5 linked regions of the Nothobranchius furzeri genome follow. The protein of the gene in region 1 purifies or fractionates together with the protein of each later gene. This does not show direct contact. Links are inferred from orthologs where the notes say so. Each region holds a gene or a part of one and is shown in the gene's direction. Other genes may lie near its edges.

Region 1 (4,170 bases):
AAAAAGCAACACTTCTTCCACAAAAAAGAATCGCTGCTTACCTTTTCCTATCCAGTATTTGCTGTTTGATATTTTTCTCTCAACCTTCTCCTCAGGGTCCAAACTTTGAGTTTTCTACAGAAACGCACGAGGAGCTTCTTTACAACAAGGAAAAGCTGCTCAACAACGGAGACCGATGGGAGCCTGAGATAGCAGCCAATATACAGGCAGACTATTTGTACAGATAAACCACTTCTTGTAAAAACAAACCATTTTGGCATCATGCTTATGTACATTATAGAAATAGCTACATGTTGTGGAGTTAAAATGCTCATTTTGAAGCAAGCCCAGTAATCATACATTAACTGGCCATAAACAAAAATAAACAAATCTAACAAAAGTTGTTCTAAAAGCTTTTTTATAGGCACACCTTCACTGTTGAGCTTTTTCTGTAAATCATAAAACTTAACTGAGTAACTTAAATTTTCATCTTGTATTTATGACTGGGGGGGGGGGGTGGCTCTGTTGGTTAATCCTTTATTAGAAAAATAACATCTTAAATCATTTAGATCCTGTTGTTGTCAGGAATCAGTCTTGCTGCTTCCCATCTAACTGAGGTTTATATCCTCAGTAATGCGTGTCTCTCTGAGCTAAACGGCTGTTTAGTCTGGTTACATTGGTTAGTCCTTATAATGTGTTTCTGGAAATCATTTCACTATTCCCTCGAGTTCTACTTAGTAAGCATTTTTGCAAAATTTTCTTTATCTTTCGTTATTTTAGATATATGGCAGTTTTTAACCTAATGATGGTCTCATGCGGTAATGATTTGACCTGTCTCCAACTGACTCGACTATTCCTTATCCACAGAATGTTTTCTACTCAGTGGATCAGCCAGGGTTAAATACTACAGCTCTTTTGCCATTGGCTAGAACAGGTTGGGAGCTTTCTTGTTGGTCAGGCACTGTTTGGCTTGTTTTGTTGTAGGATTGGGTTAGTTTGAACTGTTCATGTGTTGAATTCATTTGTTTTTACTCACTGATATTTACAGACACATTAAAACATTTTTTATTGTTTTTAAGTTGAACATTTCAATGTAATGCTTCTCCAGAACAACTGAGGGTAATTAAATAAACCATATTTTAAACCTAGGCTGGTGTTAGATTAGTTGGAGAATTGGGAGTGAAGCATACCTGCAGCTTCTGATTTCAACCTCAACAGAATTGTTTTGACCAGTTTGAAGTGTATTTTTATATAAAGGATATAAGTAATTACTATTTTATTTAGCTTTCTGAATGGACTGAAACATTCAACAGGATTGATGAGCTAACAGCTAGTTTAAGTGCAATCACAACTTGAAAAATGTCATAGCAGTTTAATAATGTAATTTAAAAAGAGTACAAATTAGTTTTAATTCTCTCTGCTTCTTTTGTGCCTCATCAACAGTCATAACATGTTTTTCAGGAAAATTCTTCAAGCTTGTTAGATCTGTTTTATTTAACTGCATGATCTAATATAAAACACAGGCCCAGAATCATTTGAACCTATTACTTGGTCCCATTTCTGTCAGCTCTGGTTTGCAGTTTCCACTAAGGTATGAACTACGGGTGAAATTATACAAATTGATTATGTATTTTTAAACCAGATGAGTTTTAAAGGCCACTCTTTAACCCTGCGTGTTAACTTTGCTACAGGAACAAACAATGGAAGAGCCGGGGTTAAAGCATGGACATAAACACAGAAATGTCTATAGAGTTAAGTAACACATATCATCGGGCATCTGCCTCCCTTCATTACTCCGTAATCTTTAGAGAGCCTGAAAGGGGTTCCTGAAGTAGAGAAGTACAGAAAGACACTGGTGTCTGGGAAAGGCTCCTCCTGTCAAAACCTCCTTTTAGTGCAAATGTCAAATTTATGATTTATAACCCCGAAGGTCCTTGGAAGTTTTCAGAAAAGGGCAGAAACCTTTGAACAACAAAAACTAGCTGGCTTCTTATCGGGCCCATATGTCTTGATCAACACTTTAAAAACATGATATATACGGTTTAATCTCTAGAAGTGTTGCTTTGAGAACAAAGCAGCGGAGTGCGCATCGTGAAGGTATATCAGACGGATGCTGATTCATGTTCTATATTTTATGCGTTTTTGGCGCTGCGGAGGCCACGTGACCAGGGCGGAAAGTGACTCATAGTCCACGCTGAATCTGCCGCGAACGCAGCCATTTACTCTTTCCTCTCTTCGCAGTGACACCGGTGAGTCGCTAGTTTCCTCTTCAATTGAGGGCCTTCCTAAATGTCAAGTTTGGATTGTTTTTAAGTCACTAAGAATGAAACAAAACTTTTTGGGTTATTTTCTTCTTTTGGGTTAAGGTCGTTTTGCATGTGCAGCCTTAACAGCAGTTGAGGGGGAAAGGCCGTCGCATTTTTTGTGCTACCAGCTAACGGGGAAGAATGGCTTCCATGCTGTGCTAGCTGTGAGGCTAGCGAGCACAGCAATGCTCCATTTCACGGCTTTGTTCTGGGATATTTGTTCCTATTACTCTTATTTGTGTATATTTGCCAGGGAGTTTTCACAATTTTTTCTTGTTCGCAATTAACGTTATTTACGGAAGGCGTCTTGTTTAGACCAGAAATTGACGGCAACATGGAACGCATTAGCTTCTGTGACTGTCTGATTGTTCCAGTCGAACCTGAAAAAGTGCGCTCAGGCATCATATGGCGCACTAAACTAACGCCTGTTAGCTTGAAGGCTAGTTGGTAACCGCCAGTGCTGAGGCTTTTGGGGGGCACGGTAGCTTTGTTTTACTTTATATTTTGGCACACCGGAGAGCAGTTAGAGGCTGTTTGTTGATGCGTTAGCAAGCTTTCATAAATTATAACGTCGCATTTGAACATGTCGGAACGTTAGCTTGGATAGAACATGCTAGAAGTTATCCCTTAGCTGTAAACTCGTCTGTACAGAATGGTGCGTGTTCAAAGCCCCGTGTGAACAATATTCCCAGAATGCCAAATTGAGTTATTGAGAATCTTTAACTTAAATCAACGTATAGATAACACTAACGGTAGATTCCCGCCTTGTTTGTTTCAGAATATTTGGAACCATGGCTGACTCTATGGGACAGTGTGTACCTGTGGCGGTGTTCAAGGTAAGAATCTACTTCTTAAGAATGATGTTAAGTATGATCTAATTATGGCGCGTGAGGGCAAAAATGTGTGCGTTTTAGCTGAGGTAACTGGTGTACCAGCACAAACCGGTCAGTAGATAACTGGTCTGTTCTTCACAGCTGGTGTTGGTCGGAGATGGAGGCACGGGAAAAACAACTTTTGTGAAGAGACACATTACAGGAGAGTTTGAGAAGAAGTATGTTGGTGAGTAACCTGAGAAAGTTAAATGTAAACTGTACAAGACTAACCCAGTGTTTGTTTTTACCAAATTAGGTTTGCCACTAATGTTTAGAACATCACATTTACAGAAAATATTGTAAAATCGCTGCATCACAAGTTTATGACACAGACGTGTAAAATGCACAGTTCTGGTCTTCCTGTGAAATTAGTGTTTGTTGAAATTACTTCATAAAACAAGTGGTTTTTATTATTCTTGTAGTTGAAAGATAAACACAACTATTTCATGTCCATGTTATTTAAAACCATTCTCTTATCAAGTCTATGAATAATAGGCCAAATAAGAATGACTGTCCTCAGTAATCCCAAAGAGTGCAAAAATGCAGAAATTCTAAGTACTAGTTACTCCATATAGCTAGCTATAAATGACTTCCAGCATCAGTCACATAACTGATTGTAGTAGATGGAAAATCAAGCAATACCAACCTTTTTATATATTAGTTTAACAAACTTGGTGTCATTCTGCAATGTCTGAAATTCTACAACTAACAGCTGCTTTGGGTTGGTGATGTTTTTAAATGGAAAACGGTAAAACAATGAGTCAAACATTATTTTTTGTGAAACTATACAGGGTTTAAACTTGTAGATAACATCTTTGTCCTAATTTATATTGAAAAGAATTGAATGGGAGAGAAGGGAGATCCTGGATGAATACTGTTCCCGGTATTATAAATATATTAACATGTCAAACATTCAACATAAAGATGATGAATAATGTGTACTTTATTGATCCCCTTGGGGAAAATCATTCTGTTTGATTCATTCATGAGAAGCATTAAGCTACCATTTCTAT
Region 2 (4,198 bases), on another chromosome or scaffold:
TCTCCAAATCATAAAACTGCTCACATGCCTTAAACTAAATCGGGTTTTAATCCAGACTTTAACAAAGAGGTGGGCAGTTTCAGCAGGATTTAACTGTTTCAAACACCCCAAAATCAGGCTTTATCACCAAAGTCACTTCCTTTAAATCAGCTTACACCATTGTCAACAACATCCACCTTTCATTGGTTTCTGTGTCAGGTTTTTGTAGGAAAAACCAAACGTTGGCCTGAGAATGTGGAACACATCACCCTGATAGACTAATGTCAGTTCATTTGTTTTCCTTTGAAATCTCAGCAAACAAGGTTTCTTCTGTCCGGTGTGCAGCAGTGATGATTTGATTTGTTTTTATGTCAACGCCCCTACATCTGTGTCCCCATTGTCACCCAAGCTGCACTGGTAAGTGAGTTTACACTTAGCTGAGTGAGCAAAATCTGTAACTGGAGATCTGCATGAATTTGTAAACCTGAACAACATGGGAAGGTTTTCAGTTAAATTACCAAACAGCAAGAGGAGGCCTGGTACTGATGCAGGATGATGCTGCAAAACATCAGCAGCTTGGAACTCACTTTGATAAATTACCTGATTTTGAACCCTAGATGCTTCTTGATTGGTCCAGATTAACTGGTTTCATAAATTAGACTAAATGGGTTGACCAAATCATGCCCAGCTGACCTGCAGTCTGATTAGTGGGTTAGTAGTGGGGATTTCTTGTTTGTTCAACTAAACTTCTATAGTTTATTTAGAATAGAATAGAGTAGACTTTATTGATCACACAGTGGGGAAATTCACTTGTTACAGCAGCACCAACACTTAGACAATAATTCAAAGAAAAATAATAAAAGTAGTATATGTATATACACATAGGCAGTAAGCTATTGTTGTAACATTCGACCACTAAAAACCTTGAATGAAAATTAAACTTGGGTTCAGAACTATGCAGCATACTGTAAGGGAGACAGGCATACTATGTAAGTCATGCACAAGTATTGAACACCTACTGCATTGATGTTATTGGAGCTACACCTTACAAGTTCATTGCCCGTCCTTATATGTATAGAAAGCTTTCCAAAGGTAAAACGAACCAAAATTAAATAGTCATTAACCTACAAATAAACCTTGCAAATTATATATATATATATATATATATATATATATATATTCTTTTTTTTCCCTCCTACTTTACCAACATTTATCTACAGATGATCGGCATTAGTGTGTTAGGCGGTTTCCTAGTGTTAAAATACTCGAGAAAAACGAGCAACATGGAAAATTCCTCGAAGGTCTACACCCACCGGGCCGCTAGAGGGAGCCAGAGTTCAACATCAACATAAATATACAAAAAAGAACCACGTGGGTCTAAAACCAGGCTGCTTACTGAACGTGCTTCCTCCGGCGAAACCCCGCCTCCCGCTTTCTCTTCCATTGGCGCGCACCTACAGCTCTGTGGCCGTGCTTCACCGCACCTCCCCGGCCGAAGAGAGCTCACCGTGGTGGAGCAGTGTGCGACAGAGTAAACGGAGCAGGCATGAACGCAGCGGGCGATGTTCGGGCCGGTTCGTCAGCCGGACCCGTCCAGCAGGGACTGAAAGAGGCTCTGATTGAGACGCTAACGGCCATCCTGTCTCCGGTTCAAGAAGTGCGCGCTGCCGCGGAGGAACAGGTCAAAGTGCTGGAAGTGACTGAGGGTAAGCGGTGGTCGGATCCTAAAGGCTCCCCCGGGGTTAAGCGTGATCATCATCCGAGTATTGACTTCTAAAACGGCCGAGAGGTGCTTTGTGTCAGGGCTTGGACTGCTGTTAAGCCAGCTAGTAGCCGGAGCGTTAGCAGAACTCCGTGGCTAATGTTAGGCCATATTCTCAGAAGTTGTTGGTGACTGAAACTGTTTTGATAGTGAAAAGAAAACACTGTCCTGTAATGGGCTCGAAAGCCCGGCTCCGTTGTCAGGAAAGCCGACTGGACCCTGCTCCGCGAAGCTAGTGGCGTTAGGCGTAAATATTAGCGGAAACCTAGCATGTAAGTTATTTGCAGCACATGGATGGGTAATATTTGGACCCCGGCCTCTGCAGCAAGGTAAACTACACTTCAGTTATCTCAGAAACGCAAATATTCTTGTTTTTGACGCGTGTGTGTAGTAAAGACCTACATTTTGAGTGTTTTACAGTTGCAAATTGGCATAATTCATTGTTTTCTTTTTTCGTCCTGTATGAATCGGAAACCATCATTGTTACTTAAAAACGTTCAAAGGTCGAGCGAGCTGATGTTTTAGCTCATATTTGAGTTCAGCGTTACCTCACGTCCCATGTCAAACGACATGTAGCTTTTAATACGAACATTATTTCCAAATAGACTGTCAGTTTGTCCCCGTAGTCTCTGGTAACCACTGACACATTTTCCCGCGAAGTTATCTCCAGGGGGGGGGGGGGGGGGGGGCTGCGCCTACCGAAGCCCGCCGAAGAAAGTCCCAGTGTCCAGCTGCATTAGGAGGTGTTTCACGTCGGGACATGCGTCATCATTTGCTTACCAAACTAAACCATAACAGTTTCTTCTTGGTCCAACAATCATTGTTTGATGTGTTGAGATCCCAAAATGATATTTAGATGGGTACAAAGCAACTCAGTGCCAGGAGGACCAGGCTCTGTTATTCCAACCCTATTTCATAACATCTCAACTTTGTACAAATGCATGCACGTGCTTTGGTTCCACATTTTGCATTAAGTGAAACTATAACAAAAAGTGTTTAGTGTTTATTATTAGTGGCCAGGGTTTGCCTTCAGGTGGGGAGCACAGGAGGTCCAAGCTAGCTGTCAGGGTGGCACTTGCCCACCCTGGACTTTCCCCAGCACCACCTCTGCTAAATGCAGTTTATAATTGTTAGTTTTCTGTCTGTCTCCATCTCCAGCTGATCATTTTTGAGCTACGAAAATGTTATGTGACAAATAAAAGATGATTTCCTTTTTGCTGTCGAGCTGAAATGCGTGTATACTGAGTGCAGCTCGACTAAACTGCTTTATTGTTCTGGAGTTCTCATGCTGCAGCTGAAATGTTAATCATGCACAGTCGGTGCACACACAGTGTTGCATTAAGTCCGACCCTTTACACTGGCCCCTCTCTCGGGCAGGTGCTCTGTGGGATTGTCAGCACTAACATTGTCTTCTGGCGCCTGATGTCACTTTTGTAAAACCCAGCTAGAAGCAGGGCTGAACGGCGGATGAAATCATTGTCCGCTCGCAGCGTTTTTTAAGTCTCTGAATTGTGTTTTATATTTACCACTTTTGGCTCCATCTTCATCTAAAAAGCCATTTTAAACTCACGAGTTGTTGCTTGTTTGCATCTTCTGCTCTTGTTGTGTTTTTTTCTGAGATGTTGTAGCTTCTGGTTTAGGCTCTGGACAATTAAATGCATGGTTTCTGTTTATCAAAGTCAAAATTAATCCTGACTTCAACATGTTACTGATCTGAGACATTCAGAGAGGGGGGTTCGATCAGTCGCCTCAATAGCAGTCAGTCATTAAAGTTTGTGTGAAATGTTTATTTAAATCTTCCCTGTCGTTGTGCTGGTTTTCCAGAATTTGGTGTCCACCTAGCAGAACTCACAGTTGACCCTTGGGGGGCACTTGCCATCCGTCAGGTGAGCAGACAGATGCGTGTTTCTCGCAATCTGAACCCTTTTCATGATCGTGTTTGTTTCTGTTGCTGTGACGTGCAGTTAGACTGATATGGGGTTATTTGTGTTTGCAGCTGGCCTCTGTCATTCTGAAGCAGTATGTGGAGACTCACTGGTGCTCCCAGTCAGAGAAGTTCAGGCCTCCTGAAACCACGGATCAGGTAAAACGCTCCCCTGGATACAGCTGCTTCAGAAACCACTGGGGCATTTTGAAGCCAGACATTGTCAGTCAGGTGTTGTGTTTCTCCAGGCTAAAGCTGACATCAGGGAGCTGCTCCCGAGCGGTTTGCGAGAGTCCATCAGCAAAGTTCGCTCCAGTGTCGCCTATGCCGTGTCAGCCATCGCCCACTGGGATTGGCCCGAGGCGTGGCCGCAGCTCTTCACCCTCCTGATGGAGATGCTGGTCAGTGGAGATGTCAATGCTGTGCATGGGGCTATGAGGGTCCTCACAGGTATGGGAAACATCCATGTAGTCACACTGGTGCCTTCGATCAGTCAAACATTCTGGTGACCCAATGTTGTGTTGTGTTCAGAG
Region 3 (4,123 bases), on another chromosome or scaffold:
CTTCGGTCTCTTAGAAAAATGCTGTGTAGAAAATGCACTCGCCAAGAAAACGGCTTTTCCAGACCGACTCTACAACACGCTGCCGGGCGACCGAGTCAACCAGCACTGCTGCTTTCACGGCGTTTTTCAGACAGAGCTGCCCTCTGCACGTTTTCAGCTGCAAGGCGGGCGTCTCGGGACCTGTCTTCATAAGAAGCTCTGCACTTGGGAGGAGGTGGTGCGAGGACAGCGGAGGCACTTCAGATAAAGTTTACTTCTGGAGCTGAGCTCTCGATTCCGTGTAATTTTCTTTTAACCCTTTTTTTTTTTTGTAAAAAAAATCCTCAGGCCTTTCTTGTGGTCTTCATGTCAGCTCATAACAGAAACTTCAAGACTGATGTACAATGGCTGAGCTTTACTGAGCATCATGTACCATGAGATTCGTCTGAATTCAGACGACTATCTTCCCCGCCACTCATTTCCACTTATCTTTTTAGTCTGAGGTGGCATGAAAGAAAGTTTACTAAATATTTGGACATCAGTAGTCATCTTGGTTAAACTTCTATATATCCTACTGAAAATATGGTAAAAGGCTATTGTAAGTGAATTTGCAGTAGTGACTGAGAAGTATGAAAATTATGTATTTGAAGGTTCCTGCCCTTTTTGTATAAAAATGAAATAAAAAATTCATCAGTTCTTGACTTGATTTTTTTGTGTTACAAATGAAAAATATCTGAACTACACTGCATCACTCTCAGCTCGTCCATAGGAATCTCCATCCCTGACTAAAAAATCTCAAAATTACAATATATATTTACATAATTACTATAAATGTGTCAGATTTGCTTAATTGTGTGTGCCTAAATGTAATCTGAATTATTTATACATTATTTTCCCCTGCTGTCTCAAACAGAAACCGATTCTGACTTTAATCTCAGAATCCTGACTTGGTTTCTCATAATTCTGAGAAAAAAATTATAAAAAATGAATACACACATTTAAAACACTATTAGACACTCATTTATACAGTTTATCAGCAAAAAAAGTTAATTTAGAGGTTACTTGCTCTTTAAATATTAAAAAAAAACCTCACTCGACTTTAGTAAAAGTTTGCTGCTCCGTTTTAAATTAGATTTAGTTTTTGGCTTTCGCTAACTTTGGTGTGTTGGACATTTATTTTCTAGCCTACAAGAGTGAAAAGATTTATTTTTAACACTACAATCTAACCCAACAAGCGCTGTTATATAAGTCTCGCGATATTCTCGTAACGTAACGACATTTCCGGTGCGTGTTATGAAATTTTTGAACAGTCCAATGAACGCTCAGGGCTCGACGTTTGGGCTCGAACGGGCCAATCAGAGGCGAGTCTAGTAGGAATTTAAAGGTCTGTGCGGTATTTTCTCCATATCACAACTGTTCCAGTCCAGGTGAGTGAGGTCTTGCTGCTCATTCGGAAAGTTTGAAACGTGTTTACGATTTCTTCCCCTTCTGTTTCGTCTGTCCAAGCCGTGATTTCACTATTTTAATTAACTAGCAATGAACTAATTTCAAACAGGAAGTAAAGCGCTCGGCGGTTTCTGACGGCTCATGGTGTCACGAGGCAGCTCGGAGCAAATCGATTAACCTTCGTGTGAAATAAACGTGTTTCCGCAGGAATTGAACCAACTTTGCATCTACTCAAGTCCACTAGCTTGAAAATGTCCGAGAACGTCGCACGTCTGAACAAATTCAAGAACAAAGGCAAAGACGTTAACGTAAGACTCGCTGCACCCAGCGTCAGTGATCGGGGTAGAATGCGCAGACTTGTGTTGAACTTGAATTCGTTTGAATCTGACGCAGGAGCTTCGGCGCAGGAGGGCTGAGGTGAACGTCGAGCTTCGAAAAGCCAAGAAAGACGACCAGATCTTCAAAAGGAGGAACGTGTGCACAGAACCGGAAGAGGCCACTTCTCCTCTCCAGGAAAGAACTCAGAACGGCCAGGTGAGACTTCAGGTGTCATTCGTTAAGGACGTGGTCTGCATCTTAAGCTGTAGGGGGGTGAATAGTCCCAGTATCTGGTGAAAGTTGCAAACCCCGAGCCTCGTACTTTGATTTTGAGCCCTGTTTCTTAACTTTTTCCACTAAATTATGACCCACTTTTGCCCCATTAGCAGAATTTAAGACAATGGACCGTGGAGGAGATCGTTACTGGGGTGAACAGCGGTAATCTGGAGTCTCAGCTTCAAGCCACCCAGGCTGCACGGTAACAGTCTTTTTTTTTAACGTTGCAAATTCCAAAGTAAACCAGTATTGATGCAGTAACTTCAACCGTGATGTTCTGTCATCAGGAAACTTCTGTCACGAGACAAGCGCCCTCCCATTGATCAGATGATCAGCGTTGGTCTGATATCCAAGTTCGTGGCCTTCCTCGGCCTGACGGACTGTCCTCCTATCCAGTTTGAGGCGTCCTGGGCTCTGACGAACATCGCCTCTGGCACATCGGATCAGACGGCTGCTGTTGTGGAGGGTGGGGCCATTCCTGCCTTCATTAACCTGGTCCTATCCCCCCACCAGCACATCAGCGAGCAGGCAGTCTGGGCTCTTGGAAACATTGCAGGTAAGTGCAGAGTTATTCTTTAGGCAAGTTTTTTTTTAACCTAAATAACTTAAATTTTTTTATTTGTATAGGTGATGGATCTGCTCTCAGAGATATGGTAATTAAGCACGGTGCTGTGGCACCTTTACTCAGGCTGCTGGAAGTTCCTGACTGGACTGTCTTTAGTGTAAGTCTTCTCGGATTTTACATTTTCCAAGAACTCCATTTGGGAAATGGTCGCATTCCTGTAATCGTTAATCCCTCCCGCCACTAGGTGGTGTCCTAACCCAATAAAATAATTCACCCCTTTAGTCTGACACCTGCTCTTCTGTTCTCTGTAGCCTGGCTACCTGAGGAATGTGACTTGGACTATTTCAAACCTGTGCCGTAACAAGAATCCTTCTCCTCCGATGAGTGCAATCGAACAGCTCCTACCTGCTCTCATTCGTCTCCTGCATCACAATGACCTGGAGGTGCTTGCTGATGCATGCTGGGCCGTGTCCTACCTGACTGACGGCTCCAACGACCGTATCGAGGTGGTGGTCCAGACGGGGCTGATTCCTCGCCTGGTGAATCTGCTCGGCTTTGAGGCGCTGTCTATAGTTGTAAGTAACTTTTCTGGCAAGTATGGTTTCTGTGGGCTTCAGCCGTCTTAAACCTCGTGTCCTTGCACTGAGACACAACTTGGACCCGGTTGTTAATGGATCATCCTCCCCCAGACTCCGGCGCTGCGTGCCATCGGAAACATCGTCACCGGCACAGACGAGCAGACTCAAGCGGTGCTGGACGCCAAGGCGCTGACCATGTTCCCTCACCTGCTGCGCCACAAGAAGCCCAACATCCAGAAGGAGGCAGCCTGGACTCTGTCCAACATCACAGCTGGGAAGGACACGCAGATCCAGGAGGTCATCGACGCAGGCCTCGTTCCATACATGGTGGAAATGCTCGTTCAGGTATGTCGTCGTGTCACAAGATTGTTGAGTAAACTTTATTTTTCTTCTAACAGTTTAGAAATATATTTTTATTTTTGCTTCTCCAGGGTGACTACAAAACTCAAAAAGAAGCGGTGTGGGCAGTTACAAACTTCACCAGTGGGGGCACTGTTCAGCAGGTGGTGTATCTGGTGCAGGTCAATGTTCTCGAGCCTCTTCTGAATCTGCTCTCCTCCAAGGACAGCAAAACGGTCCTCGTCATCTTGGACGCAATAACTAATATTTTCATGGTGAGCACATGTGTGAATGGACTGGATCAGCTGATTTCTCGTGTGTGGCTTCACGGTCCTGAAACTTGTCTGTCGGATTCGTCAGGCTGGGGATAAAATCGGAGAGGCCGACAAGCTGAGTCTGATGATCGAAGAATGCGGCGGACTGGACAAGATCGAGGCGCTGCAGTCTCACGAGAACGAGATGATCTACAAAGCTGCCCTCAACCTGATTGAGAAGTATTTCTCTGAAGAGGTGAGTGTGGCAGTGAAGGTGTGACCAGTTAAATGTTTGTTTGTCTCATGGACTCGTGTGTTTTTGTTTTAGGAGGAGGAGGTGCTGTGTGTGGCTCCTGAAGCTACAGAGG
Region 4 (4,049 bases), about 20 Mb from region 1:
AAAGGGTTTTCTTACCTTGCCGGTTAGGTGAAGTGACTCACACAGAGCTTCCTGCCATGCACAGACAGCATGTGGATCGTCCACTTCACAGTAACAATAATAGAGCAGAACCTTCCCAGGACCACTTCATAAAAACAAGAAATAAACAATCTGCATATGTTGAAATCTGATCAAATCTATAAAGGGGATGGATATAGATATGTATATACTCCATTCTGTTTACTTTTTTAGTTCACCCTCAGGGATGTGGCTGATATCTGGTATCCACATTGAAATGTCCACTGCCTCCGTCTTTTTCCCTTTCAGCTGCTGTGTTTCTGTGTCTTTTTCCAGCTGGCTTAGCAAATGTTCATATGTGGCCTGCGTGAGCTGCTGTATACTAGAATTGTGAGTTTTGGCCACATGTTGGTGAATCTCAGCATGTTCGACGAAGGTCAGGCTACAGCAGCACCAAGATGTGCTTCCTTTTCCTGCACACTCCTTCTTCGATGCTACGAAGGCAGCAAATGACTGTGAAAAGGAAGAAGCACGAATGGCATTTAGTTTAAGTAAATGTGTGCAAAATTCTAAGTTTAATGTGGGATGAAGTTTGTCGCTGCAGGTTATTTTGTTTTTATTTTGATACCTAACATTTGTCAGACATGTAAACAGATAAAATAAATGCTGCATTTACAACTATTTAAATAAACCAGTATTTACATAATATAAGTTCAACTTTATTTATTGAGCGCTTTCACATGCCCAGGAGGACAAACAAAGCGCTGTACACCAATACAAAAACAGCATTCAAATCAGAAATACACAAAAAAGTATACATTATTATTATAACTTAGCTCATCATAAAGCCAACAAACGGTCATTGTTTTTTCCCCACCTTTCTTCTGCAGAAACTGTAGTATCTTCTTTGTGAGGCAGAAAGTTGTCTCTCCTGTTTTAATCCATTACTTGTCGAAAAATCAACATCCAAATTCATGAAGCAGCCGGTTTCAATCGCTTCCATCCTAACGAAGCTGTTAAACACTGCCAGTTAGTCGATTTTTTGTCTAAATTAAATACATTTTAAGACAGTGATCGTGCCTTGCTGTCCTAACATTTATTTGCTGCCATCTTACCAAACATAAACTCTCAAACACGGTGAGGAAAAAAAGGTCACAAACGTGTTTCCGACAATGTCGGACGAAATAGGAGGACGGACTTTTCATTTGACCTCGTGCTGCCCCGGAAGTTCTCCACTTGAATCATACCGCTGTTATTTTTCTGCGGTGGTTTCTGCGTTGCACAGGCTAAATTAACTAAGTATCAGCTAGTTCGTCCGACTTGCTGCTTCGTTTCATATCGGTTTTTTCTTTTGGTTGTCTTGTGTGGATTTTAAAGTGGCCTAATATGTCCCGGAGACGACACAGCGACGAGAATGACGGTAAATCGGCGGAGATTCAGTCACACTTTAGGCTAATAGGCTAACATTAGCGTGTTTTCCTTTCCTTCACCCATGTTGGTTATTTGTTTTGCTAATACACGTGGAGTTTTTGGATAGCTTCCATCAAAATTAAAAAGAGCAAACTCGTTATCAGCTGACATTTGTGCAAAACTAAACAGCGAAGCTGAATGAACAGCGTAAGACAACCGCCAATAACCTATGCTGTTACTGTTAGCTGATTGATGGCTAACTAAACTGATATGGAGGCGGTACCAATGAGTAAAAGATACACAACCTGATAATTGGATCATTTCTGGTAAGTTGTTAAAAGTGTAAAACTGAGTCGGAAATTAATCCTGACACGTCATGTGGTGAGCTAAACTGCTAACAAGCATCATTCTAGAGAAAATATTTGATTTCCAGTGTCTGTCCTATTGATTTTGTTAAAGCAGTGCGTATTCCATTTTTAAACGTTTCTCCCTTTTGCTTGTACAGAAATGTGTTCACAGTTGAACCCATGTATAATATGCAGATGCTGGTAATGGAAAACAAAACATGGAATGAGAAAAATCTTAAATAGTCATGTAACTGCCTAAAAGTATGTGTGAGCTTCAAGTGAATGTTTCAGAAACCTTCCATTGTTGTCAGTTTTATTTAAAGTCCCATTAGTCATCATCGCACACTGGTGAAATTACATCTCTGCATTTGACACATCCTTGTGGGCAGCAGCGAACTGCAGCGATGGCTGCACTTGGGAACTATTTGGTGGTTTAGTCCCCCAATGCAGTCCCTTAAAGCTGAGTGCAGGGAGATATTGGGTCCCATTTTTAAAGTCTTTGGTATGACCCAACCAGATTTGAACCCTGATTTCCTAGTCGCAGGGTGGAGACCCATACCACTAGGCCACTGAGAAGGTTTGTCAAGCAGATAATGTCTCATTGTCAGTATGTCCTCAACAGGTCAAAATAGCAAGGATTAAAAGCCTTGAACTTCACTCTGGAACAGAATAATTGCTAAAGTATTGACATTCTCCTTTTATAATGCTGCTAACAGATTAATTATCTAAAAAGGGGCTCATGTGTTGATGTGAGTTAGGAGAAGAAACTTTCTCATACTCCGTAAACTGTGTTAAAGGAATCAACTTTGATGTGTTGCTCATTCTTTTGCGCAAGTCTTTACGCCTTATCAAGACACTCACACACACACACTTGGCCTGTCATCTTCAATAGATAATACTGTTTTGAACATTAGGATTAGATGTTCTTGTCTACTGAACTAGAGTGAGTCTGAACTCGGACACTTGTCTGCCCCCTGATGCCATGCAAGGACACTGGGTTATGGTGTGGCGATGTCTGTGTCTGGTGACCTTAACAGAGGAATACCTTTATTGGGTTACAATGATGAAGTTGCTAAAAGGCACTGCTTCGATTAAAAAGTGTAAGCTTTTAAACATCAGCTTAATTTCTGTTAATCTAGGTGTTTCTTAGCACAACACAACCTTTATCAAATAAATATGCAAGTGTTTACATGTATTACTCATTTACGCAGATTCTGTTGGTGTTTTCTGTGGTGTCGGTCAGAGTTTATGAACATGTGTTGATTGTGTGACTCTTTTACCCACCAGGAGGTCAAGCTCACAAGAGGAGGAGAACTTCTGAACCTATTGAGATTGAAGATCGTCTGGAATCCCTGATATGTCGTGTTGGGGAGAAAGTAAGAGCAGACAGACAGAGAGATGCTCTGAAATCTCCATCACTTGACTCTGTTGTATTTTGTTATTAACAGAGTACATCATCCCTCGAGAGCAACTTGGAGGGCCTTGCGGGCGTCTTAGAGGCAGATCTTCCAAACTACAAAAACAAAATTCTGCGTATTTTATGTTCTGTGTATGTTTGTATAGGTTATTGCTTTCTGATTAATAAAGAGGCATTCAGAAGGCAGACTTTACTAAAGCACTGTGTGTCAACAGCGCCCGCCTGCTACCTGAGAAGCTTACCGTCTACACAACCTTGGTCGGCCTTCTCAACGCCAGGAACTACAACTTTGGAGGCGAGTTTGTGGAGGCCATGATCAGACAGCTGAAGGAGACCCTGAAAAACAACTTGTACAATGAAGCTGTTTACCTGGTAAAGCTGATTTTCACACAATAAATCTTCACAAAAGGGAGTTTAAAATTCATCATGATGGGTTAATTTTTGGTTTTCAGGTGCGTTTTCTGTCTGACTTGGTCAACTGTCACGTGATTGCTGCTCCTTCTATGGTGGCCATGTTTGAAAACTTTGTGAGTGTTACTCAGGAGGAGGATGTCCCACAGGTAATCAACAGTTTCTGATCAATATGCCTGCTTCTGAGTACTTAAAGATTGTTATAATTGCTTGTACATATTTTATATGAGAACAGTCCTTTGTCTAACGTTTTTATCTTATCTGTTTTTCTTTGGTGTAAAGCTAATTATGTGTCTGTTGCTAATGCCTCTTGCCAGACCCTTGTTGTAAATGAGAATGAGTTCTCAATTGACTCATCTGGTTAAATAAAGATTCAGTAAATAAATAAAGGTAAACGTGAACTTGGGTTATGTCATTCTGATTCAGTTATTTGGGAAACAGATTTGTTCAGAATTGTTAACAGATTA
Region 5 (4,145 bases), on another chromosome or scaffold:
CTTTATTTGTTCCGTAGCTCAAACGGATTCACTGGGAAGTTTGCAGCCCACAAAATGGAGGAAGGTTCCTTCCAAGAGCAGATTTGTCATCAAGCATGGAGAAAAGAGACAATGAGCAACGCTAATAATAAATATTCATTCATTCTGAGAAGAAGAATGGATGTAACATGAAACAGCAGGGATATTATTATACTGAATGCATATTTAAAGTTGCATCAGTGATTTTAAAAATCCAGAATGCTAATAAAAACATTTGTCTGGTTGACTCCGGTTCAGGTTTGAGTGTAAAAGCTAAAATTCAAGGCAATGAAGCTTCATACTACGGAGGAGGATTGGGGCCACTGATAAAGTCATAAGTTTTACAGCTGATTTAAATTTTTTTTTCTTTCAGTGCCCTAATCTTCTTCCGCATTACACACACATGTACACTGGTGGTGTCTGGATTATTTTGTGTAAATATTCAACAAACGGCTCAGAATGTTGAAAGTAAAAACTGTTTTTTGTAGATCTGTTTCACCGTACTCCGTTCCACTTACAACCAGTAAGTGCATCTGCAGAAATGGAATGTAGCCCTTGTTGACCTACTCTTTTAGGTCTGCGATGAAATAGGGAGGGCATTGCCATCTTTAAAAAATAGTTGGCCATCCCTGCCTCGTGACCTGTGGAAGCCCTCTGCCCCACACACACACTCCCTTAAAACACATTTATGTTCACACAAATCATACATTAATCTTTTTTGATCAAGACATAAATAGATGTCAGTACGTTTATTTTGATCGATTGTTAATAAGTAACAATAAATACCGTATTCAATAAATCTGTATTTAAAAATATGCTTGTGCCACAGAACCTCCTCATTTTAATAAAAAGGCATAAATCCCAATAATTTTGTTATGACAGCAATGCGTAAATTAAACTTTTAAAACCGTCAAATAATATGAAACAAGGCCAGTAATAACTGGATTTATTCTGAAATGTTTGTGTTTGTCAATTTTGAAATTATTATTGCCACGGGGACCAATTTGGTGTGCCACCCCAAATTTTCACTGCCCCCCATCTGGCCGCCCCTGTGAAAATTGTTTAGGGGTAGCCAGCTATTATCAGATAAATGAAAACAACATCAATCATTTTTTTTATTTCAAGACTATCTTGAATTCTTTTTTTTTTAAATAAGCTAATAGTTTTCACCCCAGTCTCAATAAATAATAATCCAATAAATAAATGCTGCGCACAGAAAAACGGCTCCATAAAGAGCCCTTGACCTCTTTTGTTATGGTCACTCACTACATTACCCACAATTCATCTGCCGGCGGCCGCTGTGCTGGATGACAGCTATCCGGCGCCGAAACAACGGCAGACTCACTCAGACGACAGAGCCATGGCGGCCACGGGTGGAGGGAAAATTAGAAGCAGGAGATGTCAGATTGCTTCTAAACCTTACGCCAAGAGTAAACAGGTAAATCAAGTGAAAGTTTCCGTGTTAACAGCCTCAGTCGAGCACAGCACAGTGATTGAATTGCCACAATTCTTCAGTTTGTTTTGTTATTGTTTTGTTTGAGACATTTTATGGCCTTCAGTTAGCGCTCGTGGCCTCCACGCGCCGCTAGCATGCCCATGAAATGCTAACAAACTAGCAAGTTGGCTTAAGGTTAGCAAAATTAGACGGACTTGACAGTCAAATAACGACAGTGTATCGTCCAGAAAACTTAGTTAGTTTTTGTTTTAGCTCAGATCCCTACATGAAAAGCTGAGATAATAATTTTGTAAGTTGAAAGTGATTAGCCAAGTTAGCACGAAGCGAGGAAGTAGAATTTCAGCTGCTAATTGGAGCTAACCCACTAGCATCGGCGTACAACGCATTGTCTTTGGTGCTTTTCAACATCGCAGATTCAAGTGACACGATCATTTATTCCGTCGTTACATATTTATTTAAGTACGTGAACGTTTATAATGCAGCTGTACAATAATACCACTGAGGTATTATATAAATGACTAGTGTAAGTCAAATCTCAGCCTGCAGAATTGCGCAAGGAGCGTTGGGTTTATTGGGAACCCACATGGTCCCCCTGAGGGATAATCTACCGCCCTGATGTCAAAGTTGACGTTTTTAAAAGCACTCTAAAATGTAGACATTAGGCAAGACGTGGCTGGGCACTCGGCGGTTTCTCTGATCTGTTTTGTCATCTCTTAAAATTTCCACATAGTGTGTTTATAATAAAATGCTTAAGTCTCTAGAGTTGCAGAAATGATATCTAACTAAGGTCGGTGTATTAATAAATAATTACTTTGTCAGCAGTGTTTTTATGACAAACGTTGTCCGTTAATTATTTAAAATTTGCTAAGTTGACCATAAACAACTCTGCTACATCAAAACATGTGCATCCATTTCCACCTCACTTTAAAACTTGTATGTTCTTATTCTATACAGGCCTGGCACTCATGTTTTTGCAATAAATCAGCCTTTATTGAAATCAAACAAGTACATAAGATGTTAAACATGCAGGTTAGTGGCAGACACAAAGCTGATGGTTGTAGGTTATTGCGCAACCTTGCTGTTTACCACATTATTAGCGTTGTATTATGAGGTGTTACAATTAGAAGAAGTTGCATTATTTTAAACAAATAACGACAAGAACAAGTAAAGTCTAGTTTTGCAAATGCTAATAAACTAAAGATTTGCTGTGGCTTTTTGATTTACATGGTAAGTAAATTAAACATTCAGTTCTTGTGTTAGCAACATGCTTGCTTCTTGCTAATATTTGTGCCATGTCACGAAGATCAGAAAAGTTTTTCTGAAAGTACCCAACTGCACAAGTCATTAATGTTTAACTGTTTGGAAAATTTGGGGTAATACAAAAATGTCAAATACAAATTGCAGCAACCTGAGACGAGCTGCAGAAAATCTGACATCTCTCTGGGAGTTTAAAAGAAGTCCAGTTGCTTTTTGTACAACTTTAATTCACTTTTAATAGAAACATTAAGATTATTAATTTTGACTTGGAAGAAAAATAAATCTGGATTTAACCATGTTTGCAGTTTGCTGCAAGTCACCACAGTTGTTGATGTGCAGCAGACTAGTTGGAGCACATTCTGTTCAACATAGTCTTGTTTTCTTTAGATGAAAGGGAAAAATAAACAAAAGATGGGATAGTGATTTTATAAATGAAATGAAACAAACTCAGTATTTTGGGTTAATCAAAGTGGAATCGTTTAGATGATTCATGAATAGCAGGTTTTCAACCCATCCCTCTTATAGCTAGGCCCGCCATCATGGTACATATGTGACACTAACAGTGGGTAATCCCAGTATGATGTTTACTTATTAAAAAACACCCATAAGGAGGAAACAAATGCCTTCATTCATAATTGTGGCAATGGCAGCATTCAGTTCTGCCAACATGGGTTGGTAATGAGAAACCACACAACGCCCAACTAATAAATCCTGTTTCTGTAAAGCTGAAAAATGTTCTTTAGTTTATTTATTTTTGTAACAACAAAAGCAAGTTTTTATACGCCAAAGTAAAGTTGTTTTGTTTTTCTTTCATTAAAAAATTATTTTCATTTTTGCTGTGTGATTGGTTATGTCTGTTTCTTTTAGGGGACATATACATCTGTAAAACCTGGAAATGTAACAAAAACATGCTTATTATTTTGTTTTTCTACATTCCTTGTATATTCTTTGTCTAACGCCATATTTCTTGTGTCTTGATCTGCAGCAGTCAGGCCTGATTAGTCGAGTGACGGACACGGTGAAGAGCATCGTTCCTTCCTGGCTGCAGAAATACTTTAAGAACGGAGATGCTCCCGAAGGAGGAGAGGGAGGACAACGGACAGACCAGAGCTGCCTGCTGCCACCTCCTCCTCCTCCTCCTCCTCCGAATGGTAATGAAGAAGGACCTCCTTCTTTTGATGGACGGGATTCACCAGAGCCAAGCACCAGTAACACAGGTTAGAAGTTGCTCAGAAACAACATTTTGCTGTTTCTTCTGTCATTCATGATATTAACTTCCCTTTCATTTGCACAGAACCCTCAACAAGTCACGCATCCCTGAACTTTCAGGAGTACGTGCTCTCCCGACCTCCTCTTAGTCGCTCTCACCTCCACTTCAACCCGCTAGATGTGTCCTCCCCTACTTTTGGAGCCT

Evidence for each region.
Region 2: the proteins of ran (region 1) and ipo9 purify together in Homo sapiens (affinity purification with mass spectrometry; 3 studies listed by BioGRID and IntAct, with this or other methods). This does not show direct contact. The link is inferred for Nothobranchius furzeri from reciprocal best matches to the Homo sapiens genes RAN and IPO9.
Region 3: the proteins of ran (region 1) and kpna2 purify together in Homo sapiens (affinity purification with mass spectrometry; 3 studies listed by BioGRID and IntAct, with this or other methods). This does not show direct contact. The link is inferred for Nothobranchius furzeri from reciprocal best matches to the Homo sapiens genes RAN and KPNA2.
Region 4: the proteins of ran (region 1) and nuclear cap-binding protein subunit 1 purify together in Homo sapiens (co-immunoprecipitation; 3 studies listed by BioGRID and IntAct, with this or other methods). This does not show direct contact. The link is inferred for Nothobranchius furzeri from reciprocal best matches to the Homo sapiens genes RAN and NCBP1.
Region 5: the proteins of ran (region 1) and nup153 purify together in Homo sapiens (affinity purification with mass spectrometry; 5 studies listed by BioGRID and IntAct, counting the BioPlex papers as one, with this or other methods). This does not show direct contact. The link is inferred for Nothobranchius furzeri from reciprocal best matches to the Homo sapiens genes RAN and NUP153.

The regions. Positions count from the first base shown.
Region 1 is NC_091741.1:91,737,592-91,741,761, forward strand, and holds the start of ran (GTP-binding nuclear protein Ran), read left to right. Parts: upstream 1-1,361; 5' UTR 1,362-2,228; intron 2,229-2,721; exon of another isoform or gene 2,722-2,940; intron 2,941-3,063; 5' UTR 3,064-3,076; coding exon 3,077-3,121; intron 3,122-3,259; coding exon 3,260-3,344; intron 3,345-4,170. Other genes in the region: ndufs8b (NADH:ubiquinone oxidoreductase core subunit S8b), read left to right, coding at 96-227. UniProt on the Homo sapiens protein: GTPase involved in nucleocytoplasmic transport, participating both to the import and the export from the nucleus of proteins and RNAs. Switches between a cytoplasmic GDP- and a nuclear GTP-bound state by nucleotide exchange and GTP hydrolysis.
Region 2 is NC_091743.1:60,962,311-60,966,508, reverse strand, and holds the start of ipo9 (importin-9), read left to right. Parts: upstream 1-1,389; 5' UTR 1,390-1,525; coding exon 1,526-1,685; intron 1,686-3,565; coding exon 3,566-3,627; intron 3,628-3,737; coding exon 3,738-3,824; intron 3,825-3,913; coding exon 3,914-4,115; intron 4,116-4,196; coding exon 4,197-4,198. UniProt on the Homo sapiens protein: Nuclear transport receptor that mediates nuclear import of proteins, such as histones, proteasome and actin. Serves as receptor for nuclear localization signals (NLS) in cargo substrates.
Region 3 is NC_091752.1:67,643,897-67,648,019, reverse strand, and holds the start of kpna2 (importin subunit alpha-1), read left to right. Parts: upstream 1-1,322; 5' UTR 1,323-1,406; intron 1,407-1,632; 5' UTR 1,633-1,676; coding exon 1,677-1,733; intron 1,734-1,818; coding exon 1,819-1,959; intron 1,960-2,129; coding exon 2,130-2,221; intron 2,222-2,306; coding exon 2,307-2,575; intron 2,576-2,646; coding exon 2,647-2,741; intron 2,742-2,895; coding exon 2,896-3,159; intron 3,160-3,273; coding exon 3,274-3,507; intron 3,508-3,593; coding exon 3,594-3,776; intron 3,777-3,861; coding exon 3,862-4,011; intron 4,012-4,083; coding exon 4,084-4,123. Other genes in the region: nucleosome-remodeling factor subunit BPTF, read left to right, coding at 1-14.
Region 4 is NC_091741.1:71,547,686-71,551,734, reverse strand, and holds the start of nuclear cap-binding protein subunit 1, read left to right. Parts: upstream 1-1,245; 5' UTR 1,246-1,383; coding exon 1,384-1,417; intron 1,418-3,041; coding exon 3,042-3,130; intron 3,131-3,202; coding exon 3,203-3,303; intron 3,304-3,386; coding exon 3,387-3,543; intron 3,544-3,623; coding exon 3,624-3,731; intron 3,732-4,049. Other genes in the region: thiosulfate sulfurtransferase/rhodanese-like domain-containing protein 2, read right to left, coding at 16-124, 224-510, 875-1,000. UniProt on the Homo sapiens protein: Component of the cap-binding complex (CBC), which binds cotranscriptionally to the 5'-cap of pre-mRNAs and is involved in various processes such as pre-mRNA splicing, translation regulation, nonsense-mediated mRNA decay, RNA-mediated gene silencing (RNAi) by microRNAs (miRNAs) and mRNA export.
Region 5 is NC_091759.1:104,985-109,129, reverse strand, and holds the start of nup153 (nuclear pore complex protein Nup153), read left to right. Parts: upstream 1-1,344; 5' UTR 1,345-1,378; coding exon 1,379-1,456; intron 1,457-3,716; coding exon 3,717-3,948; intron 3,949-4,025; coding exon 4,026-4,145. Other genes in the region: ptdss1b (phosphatidylserine synthase 1), read left to right, coding at 18-115. UniProt on the Homo sapiens protein: Component of the nuclear pore complex (NPC), a complex required for the trafficking across the nuclear envelope. Functions as a scaffolding element in the nuclear phase of the NPC essential for normal nucleocytoplasmic transport of proteins and mRNAs.